Linked DNA regions of Sus scrofa. The protein of the gene in region 2 binds, or shares a complex with, the protein of the main gene of each other region. Links are inferred from orthologs where the notes say so. Each region holds a gene or a part of one and is shown on either strand. Other genes may lie near its edges.

Evidence for each region.
Region 1: the proteins of BCL2L1 (region 2) and TPT1 are in contact, whole or in part, in a crystal structure (PDB 4Z9V), measured with the Homo sapiens proteins. The link is inferred for Sus scrofa from reciprocal best matches to the Homo sapiens genes BCL2L1 and TPT1. Residues at the interface, in NP_001304848.1 of Homo sapiens: Ala93, Glu96, Phe97, Arg100, Tyr101, Ala104, Phe105, Leu108, Gln111, Ser122, Gln125, Val126, Glu129, Leu130, Asp133, Asn136, Gly138, Arg139, Val141, Ala142, Phe146, Leu194, Tyr195, Ala199, Ala200, Ser203; in NP_003286.1 of Homo sapiens: Phe14, Asp16, Ile17, Lys19, Ile20, Arg21, Ile23, Ala24, Asp25, Gly26, Leu27, Cys28, Leu29.

What each region holds. Positions count from the first base shown.
Region 1 is NC_010453.5:21,927,830-21,932,189, reverse strand, and holds the start of TPT1 (translationally-controlled tumor protein), read right to left. Parts: upstream 2,897-4,360; 5' UTR 2,805-2,896; coding exon 2,777-2,804; intron 2,499-2,776; coding exon 2,425-2,498; intron 1,920-2,424; coding exon 1,729-1,919; intron 1,343-1,728; coding exon 1,237-1,342; intron 525-1,236; coding exon 408-524; intron 1-407. UniProt on the Homo sapiens protein: Involved in calcium binding and microtubule stabilization. Acts as a negative regulator of TSC22D1-mediated apoptosis, via interaction with and destabilization of TSC22D1 protein.
Region 2 is NC_010459.5:35,412,845-35,417,255, forward strand, and holds the start of BCL2L1 (bcl-2-like protein 1), read right to left. Parts: upstream 2,953-4,411; 5' UTR 2,820-2,952; exon of another isoform or gene 2,706-2,819; intron 2,588-2,705; exon of another isoform or gene 1,607-2,587; intron 1,529-1,606; exon of another isoform or gene 1,401-1,528; intron 1,327-1,400; 5' UTR 1,197-1,326; coding exon 633-1,196; intron 1-632. UniProt on the Homo sapiens protein: Potent inhibitor of cell death. Inhibits activation of caspases. Appears to regulate cell death by blocking the voltage-dependent anion channel (VDAC) by binding to it and preventing the release of the caspase activator, CYC1, from the mitochondrial membrane.

The DNA.
Region 1 (4,360 bases), on a different chromosome or scaffold from region 2:
GGGTTTTAATGCTCAGTATGTGTGGCAAAATAGGAAGAGAAAAGCAGTCTGATTTCTATGGGCCATTTCCATAAGAAATGTCAACATAGGGTGTTATCCCTTAAAATAACTTAAAATATTTAGATTATATACGTTATCTCTGATCTCTAGGCTCAGTATTTAAGCTATTTATAATGTCATCTATGCTAAGTTTCCTGCAGATCCATTCTAAGCTTTTCTATACCATAAAAATCCTTTACATGTGAATCACAACATTCTTTAGATCCCCAAGAAAAAAGACCTGCACCCTCATTTTCAAAGGACTGCTGCAGAACCCATTCTAACTGTCCCAGTGGCATGAAACAAGGGATTATGCCCACACTCTCCATTTTTACATTACTGATTTCAACCCACTTCTTTGTACTTACACATTTTTCCATTTCTAAGCCATCCTTAAAGAAAATCATATATGGAGTCACACCATCCTCACGGTAGTCCAGCAGAGCAACCATGCCGTCTGGATTCATGTTTTCACCAATAAAGAACTTAGGAAGCAAACAAATATCCAGAATTAGATTATACAAATGTGCTGTATCAAAACAAATCAAAGAATGATTCAGAACACCACTATTTAATCGAGACTCTCAGCAACCAGAGGCTCTGATTTGATGCCTAAGAGAAATGCTCACTAATCAATCTGTTCACCCAAAGTACTAAAAGAGCCAAAATAAAGAGTACAGAGCACTCTAGAAACTTTAGGCTTTCTCATCCCCACACAGCCAATTCCAAGCCCTACAAAGAAGCCTGTTTACAGTCAACCACAGGGAATGTAGTAAGGCTAGCAATGAGAGCATGCACACCCTATGAAAAGAAAGTTAGGGTCACACACAGGATGTGTGAAAACAGCAAAACTTTCGCTTGGCGGTAAGGGAATTCTTTACGTTCCTCAACAGTACAAGCTCACATCAGAAAGAGCTCCAGTGGCAATGAGACCCAATGGAACTGTAAAAAGAAAGCAAAGTGGAAAACCACTTAGGGGTCAAACTGAGCAATTCTAGAGAAAGAACTGGGAGATGCCATCTGGGGAAGGAGTAGGGAAGGCTACCCTCTCCAGCTAGACTACTGGCGTTGAATATATCAAGTATTAATTGCTCAAAAGGCTAAGAAAATACCCACAATTAAATTACATCAGACATTCAAACTCATTTTTTGCTCTAAGTTAAACTCTATAGCCCTTTAATCCACACATTTGTTTACCTGATAGTTTTTGAAATTAGCAAGGATGTGCTTGATTTGTTCTGCAGCTCCTGTCATAAAAGGTTTTACTCTTTCTGGTCTCTGTTCTTCGAGTTTCCCTTTGATTCTAAAACAAGTATTTTATTGATAGGTTAAGTTCGTTACAGAGCTCTGAGCAAAAGAAATTTTCTCCAAAAACTCCAAACTGAAACTAGCAACTAGCTATCACTGAGCACAATCAAGAAATTCCTAGCTCACAGGAGGGATGTTTTATGACTGTTCACAACTTTGAATTTCCTGTCAGCTTCTTTCCAAAGTGCTGTTCTGAAAAGGTAAAGCCAGACCTGTATGCACCTGTTATGCTCATATTTGATAGAAAAGCAACCACCCTTCTGAGCTCATTAATAAAGTATTTGACAACCATGCCTGCTTGCTAAAAAAATCTCCATAGTTAGAAGATCCCTAAATCCTACAGGATTCCAGACATCAACGGAATGTGCCAAGATCACTTACGACTTCATATAATCTTTGATGTACTTCTTGTAGGCTTCCTTTGTGAAGCTGGTTTCCTGCAGGTGATGGTTCATGACAATATCGACACCAGTGATTACTGTGCTTTCGGTACCTTCGCCCTCGGGCCCTTCAGCGGAGGCATTTCCACCAATGAGCGAGTCATCAATGTTACCCTCTGTCCTACTGACCATCTGCGTTAAGGAAAAGTTTAGTTGCTAACACATCCTCGACCTTACCACAAAGGCATCAAAACAATTTAAGCAGCTCATACATCCCATCAGCCTTCCACTAAAGATTCTTGTTTCTTGCTGAAAACATGGGGAAAAAATTTATGACCCCTCGATTTCCTAAAACACCCTAACAATTCTTTGTTGACCAGCACGAGAAGGGGGTTGTTTACAACGAGTGGAAGTTTTGCGTGGACAGTCGGGTTGAAAAGGGCAACCGCTGAGGGCTTCGGGCTCCCAAACAGGAGACAACCTGTCCGGGACCGCCTGGGAGGATGGGCGCCCAAGTGGCGGACCTATTTCCAGACTCAGCTCCGCCTCCACTTTTCTAGAAAAACCCGAGCCCGGAAAGAGCGTCTCCTCCGCCAGGAGGCAACGGAGAGGATTGCACAACCTCGGGCGGGGGAGCGGCGGAAACCCGAGCCTGCCTGGCCTTGCCTCCTCCTCGCCGCGACCCGGCCCGACTCACCTTCCCCTCCACCTCCAGACACAGCCCGTCCGCGATCTCCCGGATCTTGTAGATGTCGGAAAACATCTCATCATCTGCCCGAGAACACAAACCCGCCAGTCAACCGTGCGCCTGAAGCCCGAGCCGGCGCCATTTCCCGCGCCGCCCCGCCCGCCGCACGCGACCCCCGCCCTTCCCCGGCGCTCGAAACCCCAGGGCGCGCGCCAAGCACCGACCTTCCTCGCTCCCGGGAGGGCGCCGGCGTCCCCCAGGCCCAGGACGGCGGCGGCGGCGGCGGCGGCCGTCTCCCCGCCCCCCACCAGACCCCCATCCCCTTCGCGCGGCAGTGGGGAAGAGTGCAGTCCCCACTCACGGCTGATGAGGTCCCGGTAGATGATCATGATGGCGGCTGGAGGGAGACGACGGCGGCGCTAGCTTAGCAGGAACCGGGAGCTCAGAGCGAGCGCGGTGCAGCCGGAGCGGCGCTCGGGGGGAGGGGGGAGCGGGCGGAAAAGGCCGACTCTGCCGCTCCCCAACCTCATATAGAGGGCACGTCCCCCTACGTCATCGCCCGCTGCGCCTCCGGAAGCGCCGTAAGCGGTGACGTGGCACGCAGAGCGGCGCGTGGGGTGGGGCCACAGCGCGAGCCGGGGGTGGGGAGGGGAGGAGGACATCCGGGGACTTGGCCTTGGGCTGCAAAGCCGTGCCCCACGCTGGGCCCTCGGGGCTTCCTAGGGGGGAGAAGTCGGGAGGGACAAGGATGGGCGACGCAGGGAAGGAGGTGCGGCGGGGGGCGGGGCAGAGGGAAATGCGGGAGCGGGTGGGGGGAGGAGCGTGCGGGGGGCTGCGAGGAGGGAAGGGCTTCCGGGCGCTGAGTGGTGGAAGTGGTGCCTGGGGCTCTGCCCCTCCCTACGCCAGGGTTGCCCTCGAAGGTGCTGGGTCTGGGTGGGGCTTCAAGTTTCCGCCTCAGGCCTCGCCCGGCGCAAGCTCCCACCCTTTCTGGGAACCAAAGTGTCAGCTGTTGGGAAGGACTTTGCATTTACGTAGGGTCCCTTTGAGGCTTTGGGAGACCGCGACTCTGTCCCCGGGGATGATGGCAGGGGGGCTGGGTTTATGACCCGCCTCCTGTGAGTTCTGGGGTCTCGGAGAACTTTTCAGCGTTTTCTCCTAGGGCTCTCCCCCTACATCGAGTTTTCGGACGCTTTTGTGGGGGCAGGGCTGAGTCCGGGTTGTGGGACCCAGGTCGTCCCTCCTGCCCCTTCGGAATAATCGTGGGGGATGTGTGTAGGAAAAGACTTGAGGGGGGAGGAAAGTGTCGCGGGAGTTTACACAGTTTTCCCATCTCTCGGCTTGGTCCTGTATGTGAAAGTTTGCGGTTCCTAACACAGGTTTAGAATCTTCACCTTTTCTGTTTGCACTTGGTCTTGAATTAGGTCGTTTGAAAAAGAGGGTATGTTGTCACTTTAAGATCGAAATTATATGCCAGGTGCCAGAGGGTTAAACATTAAAAGGAAAAGGAGCTCCCCACCTGCCCAAGTTTTATTTGGACTTTGGACCTAATTATGAGATACTTTAAAAATGCCCTTTCAGGCAAAGATTTATGCCAGTATGCAACCGGAGAACTTGTTCCATACCACGAATGTATTTGTGCTCCACTCTGTCCTTAGCGGGGGGTTTTGCTCAGAGGTCTCAACTGTGAACAGGTTAAATCCAGTCCTACCCTCACAGAAAATTTTGTTCTAGTAAATCAAAGAATTGGCCAATTATAGCACATTAATGGTTTTTCCCTGATTCAACAATAAAGCATTCCCCAGGGTAAGACAGGGCACCCCCTGTGAAGGAACAGGGCACAGGACACTGAATTGAGATGATGGAAGAATCATAATGCAAAAGAGCCAGGAAATGGGACCCTCTTGGGAGATGACGTCTAGGGCTGCACTGGACACCCTAGGAGACA
Region 2 (4,411 bases):
GTCCAATCATACCCAAAGTTGCACACTTCAGAGCCAATGAACATAGGGGTGTGGCACAAACACAACTGGCCCACTGGCACAGCTTACACCCTAAAAGTAGACAATCCTCAGCCATCTAAGCCAGTGGGAACTCCCTGCCTGGTCATGCCAACTCTGAAACACAGGGGACTCCATCTGGGGGAGGGAAGCCCAGGACAGGATTGACATCCCAGGGGGAGTAAGACTGAAGGGACTGGTGGGTCACTGATACCGTCTCCTGCAGGTGTTACCCTTAGCGAGGGGAGCCATTACGTCAGGGTCAGGGAAACACCGGACTAACCCGCCACCCGCAAAGGTTTGGGGCCCAATGAACACACAGGCTATGTTTTCCTCTGCAGAGAAATTGGACACAAGTCTGAAAGGGTAGGGTCATGGGGATGACCAGAACGAAGCTGTCTGGTCCTTGCAGAACTAGGTCATCTGTATTTCAGGACAGTTAGCGTCTTGTGCTGCAGTGAGGCCAGTCACATCTCCTTAACAAACAACATCTCCAATAATCACACAGCGCGACAGAAAGAGGTACAGAGGAAAGGCTGTTGGGGATCTGACCTGAGACCAAGGAACAGGGACACCACAAGGGGCGTGGTCCTTACCCAGCCGCCGTTCTCCTGGATCCAAGGCTCTAGGTGGTCATTCAGGTAAGTGGCCATCCAAGTTGCGATCCGACTCACCAATACCTGCATCTCCTTGTCTACGCTCTCCACGCACAGTGCCCCACCGAAGGAGAAAAAGGCCACAATGCGACCCCAGTTCACCCCATCCCGGAAGAGTTCGTTCACTACCTGCTCAAAGCTCTGATACGCTGTCCCTGGGGTGATGTGGAGCTGGGACGTCAGGTCACTGAATGCCCTCCGGTACCTCAGTTCAAACTCATCGCCCGCCTCCCTCAGCGCTTGCTTCACTGCAGCCATGGGGATCACCTCCCGGGCATCCAAGCTGCTGCTGTGGCCAGTGGCTCCATTCACCGCGGGGCTGTCCGCCAGGTGCCAGGATGGGTTGCCATTGATGGCACTAGGGGTTTCCGCTTCTGATTCAGTCCCTTCTGGGGCCTCAGTTCTGTTCTCTTCCACATCAGTAAACTGACTCCAGCTGTATCCTTTCTGGGAAAGCTTGTAGGAGAGAAAGTCAACCACCAGCTCCCGGTTGCTCTGAGACATTTTTATAATAGGGATGGGCTCCACCAGTCCATTGTCCAAAACACCTGCTCACTCACTGAGTCTGGTCTCTGCTTAGTGGTTCTCTTCTGAGATCCAAAGCCAAGATAAGGTTCTGAAGGGAGAGAAAGAGCTTCAGAAAAAAAAAAAAAAAAAAATTAACATGCATGCCATTTACCCTGCAACATCCATTCCCCCTCCAGGTACCAGAATGGGGTCTTTTGTGGCTCTTAGGAAGGTCTGGGTCTGGCTTCCAAGGGACTTCAATAAAGTCAAATTGAAAGCACCAGTGGGCTCTGAATCATCACACCGGCCTTTAAGCCTCAGCCACCCCCTTTTCTCCGAAATGTCTTCCTCGGAAAGTCACCCCCATGGGCAGTCTGTCCCCCACCCCCCACCCCCGCACCACCTACATTCAAATCCGTCTCAGGCGACCGGCAGGCAGGTGCAGCCCCCGGAAGATCTTTTGTATCAGAGGTCGGGAGAGGAGGTGGCAGCCGGGATGCCGGTAACTCAGCCGGCCTCGCGGCGGCTGGCAAAAAAAGCAGCTCCGGCTGGAGGGATCATGCGACCCGGCAGACTGAGAGCCCAGAAGGCGATACAGGAATTACGAAGCTCAGGAACCGGCCCCCTCGCCTGCTTCCTCCTCCATCGCCCAGATCGAGGGCGGCCGCTTCAGCAGCCGCGGCCCGGGAGCCCAGCCCCCTTGCTCTTGCACGCCCCTTGGCTCTCCGCCTCCTACTGGGAGCCAGGAGAACTCTCCCGGAGGTGGCTGGTGTGAGATTTAGTTTTTGTTTTTCTTCTATTTAAGTACCAGCCCAGGGTGAGGTTTACTGAAACCCTAAAGGGACTTCTCAATGGGGCTCAAGGTTTCGATGAGGGACGGAGGGAGGGGGAAACTGCCTCGTATCTGCGGTCTGACTTCGGAAAGGCCATCCCCGGGCCTTTCAGGGAGGCGGAAAGCCGGGGACCCCCCAGAAACGCTGCTGGCTTTCTCTGAATTCCCCAAAGGCCCTGGTCGTGGCGGTGGGGGGCTGCCGGGTCCTCCATTCCCCGCACGGACACAATGGCCGCCGGCGCCCGGCACAAAGACTGGGCGAGGGTGAGGCGCCGGGCCTCTCCTCGGGTCAGGGAGAATGGGCGAGGCCTCCTCGAGGCCCCCCCACAGCTGAAACCACGTTCTCCTGTGGACAGGCCCAGGGTGGCTTCCTCGCGCCCTGGCGAGGGTTTAGAGGCAGGGGTCTGCACCTCTCCCGAGCCCAGGGTGGGTGGGCTGCGGACTCGCGGCTCCCTCCGCGCGCTAGGCCGGGTACCCGCCCGGCCACCGCCCCGTTGCTAGGCAACCGCTCTCCCTCTGGGGCGCCCCCTAGACCTTTCTGGGAGGAGGGGTCTCGCCCCCGGCGGCCCGCCCCAGCGCGGCCAATCAGCGAGCCCAGGTGGCACGGAAGCAGGACGGCGAGGGCTCCCATTGGGCGCAGCGCCTGCCACGCACAGGGGAGGCGGCGCTCTCACCTGCGAGCCCCGCGAGCCATGGGGGGCCACATCCCCCATTCATCGGCCAGGTAGTTTCCAGACGCGACCGCTCTTCGCGGCAGAGTTCTGCGCCGCGGACCTGGGCCGGCCTACCTGGCTGGTGGCTCGCGCTGTCTCTTCCGAACGAGCCGGCCTCAGTTTCCCCTGAAGAGACCGGGGGAACTTGCAACCTCAGTCACTTCCGGTGCCGCGGCAGCGCGCGCGAGCCCGAGACGCAAGGGGAGTGCGCGCCTTTAAGTACTGGCGTCAAGACCTTGGCGAGAGCGCCCCCTTGCGGTAGAGCTGGGGAATCCGGAGACAAAAAAGGATAAACGTTTACATTCACGTTTCCATTCATTCATTCATTTAGCCAGTTTCATCCACTGGTTAGTTTATATGTCGAAAAAGCATCGCGTCGTGGCAAGAATCTTGTGTCTGGGATTCCAACCTTGCTAACTGGGAAAGTTACTCAACCGCTGTGTCTCGATTATCCTTAACCGTACGTAATGTGAGTAAAAACCAATCTCCCTCATTGAGTTACTGTGATTGATTTGAGTTGTTCTTTGTGAAGTCTATGGTACATGCTGCATAATTTCATTTAGCAAATGTTTATTGTTTGGGTTGCTGAAAATGGAGTTAGGAACAAGACACGGCCCATGTTTTCATAGAGGCTTAAACCCTTGAGATGGAGAGAGTAAACAACTAAGAAAACAAACAAGGTAATTTCAGATAGTGACTAGTGCTCTGAACAAAGCAAATCAGGGTATTGTCGTAAAGAGGGTGAAGAAAGAGGTGCTCCTTTAGAGTGGGTGGTCAGGGATGTAAGCCTCGCCCTCCCTGCCCAGTGAGGAAGAGGGACATTTTTTTCTTTTTTTTTTTTTTTAGAGCCGCACCTGCAGCATATGGAAGTTCCCTGGCTAGGGGTCGAATCAGAGCTGCAGCTGCTGGCCTACGCCACAGCCACAGCAATGCTGGATCCTTATCCCCCTGAGTGAGACCAGGGATCCAACTCCCATTCCCACAGATACTAGTCAGGTTCTTAAGCCACTCAGCCACAGTGGGAACTCCAAGAGAGTCATTTTTTTCAAGTGTTCTTTCAATTGTTTGTGTAGGGTGCCAGGGATGGCCTCTTCAAAGGGATAACTTAGAACCGAAGATCTGAAGTGTAAGGAAATGCCACCCGTCGGAAGAGTTTAGAGAACATCAGCCTAGGCAGAGGATATAGCTTGCGCAAAGTGTCCTGAGGCAGGAAGATCTTGGGATGTTTTAGAAGCTGAAGGAGAAGCAGTGTGACCAAAGGAGGGCAAATGTGTTATGAGAGGTCATTGGTTGGAAAGTTGACCATGGAAGTGAATTAATCAATTAATTTTGTGGTAATTTAATTGATTAAAAATAGGATATTGGAGGAGTTCCCACTGTGGCTCAGCGGGTTAAGCGTCCATGAGGATTTGGGTTCAGTCAATGGGTGAAGGATCCGGCATTGCCAGAGCTGCAGTGTAGGTCGCAGATGTAGCTCAGATCTGGCATTACTGCGGCTGTAACATAGGCTGGCAGCTGCAGTGCTGATTCGACCTTGAGCCTGGGAACTTCCATATGCTGCAGCTGAGTCCCTAAAAAGAAAAAATAATAATAAAAATAAAAAAGATATGAAAAATATACCACAGAGCAGAGAATCAAAAAGTCTTCTTCCCACCCCTTCTTTCCAA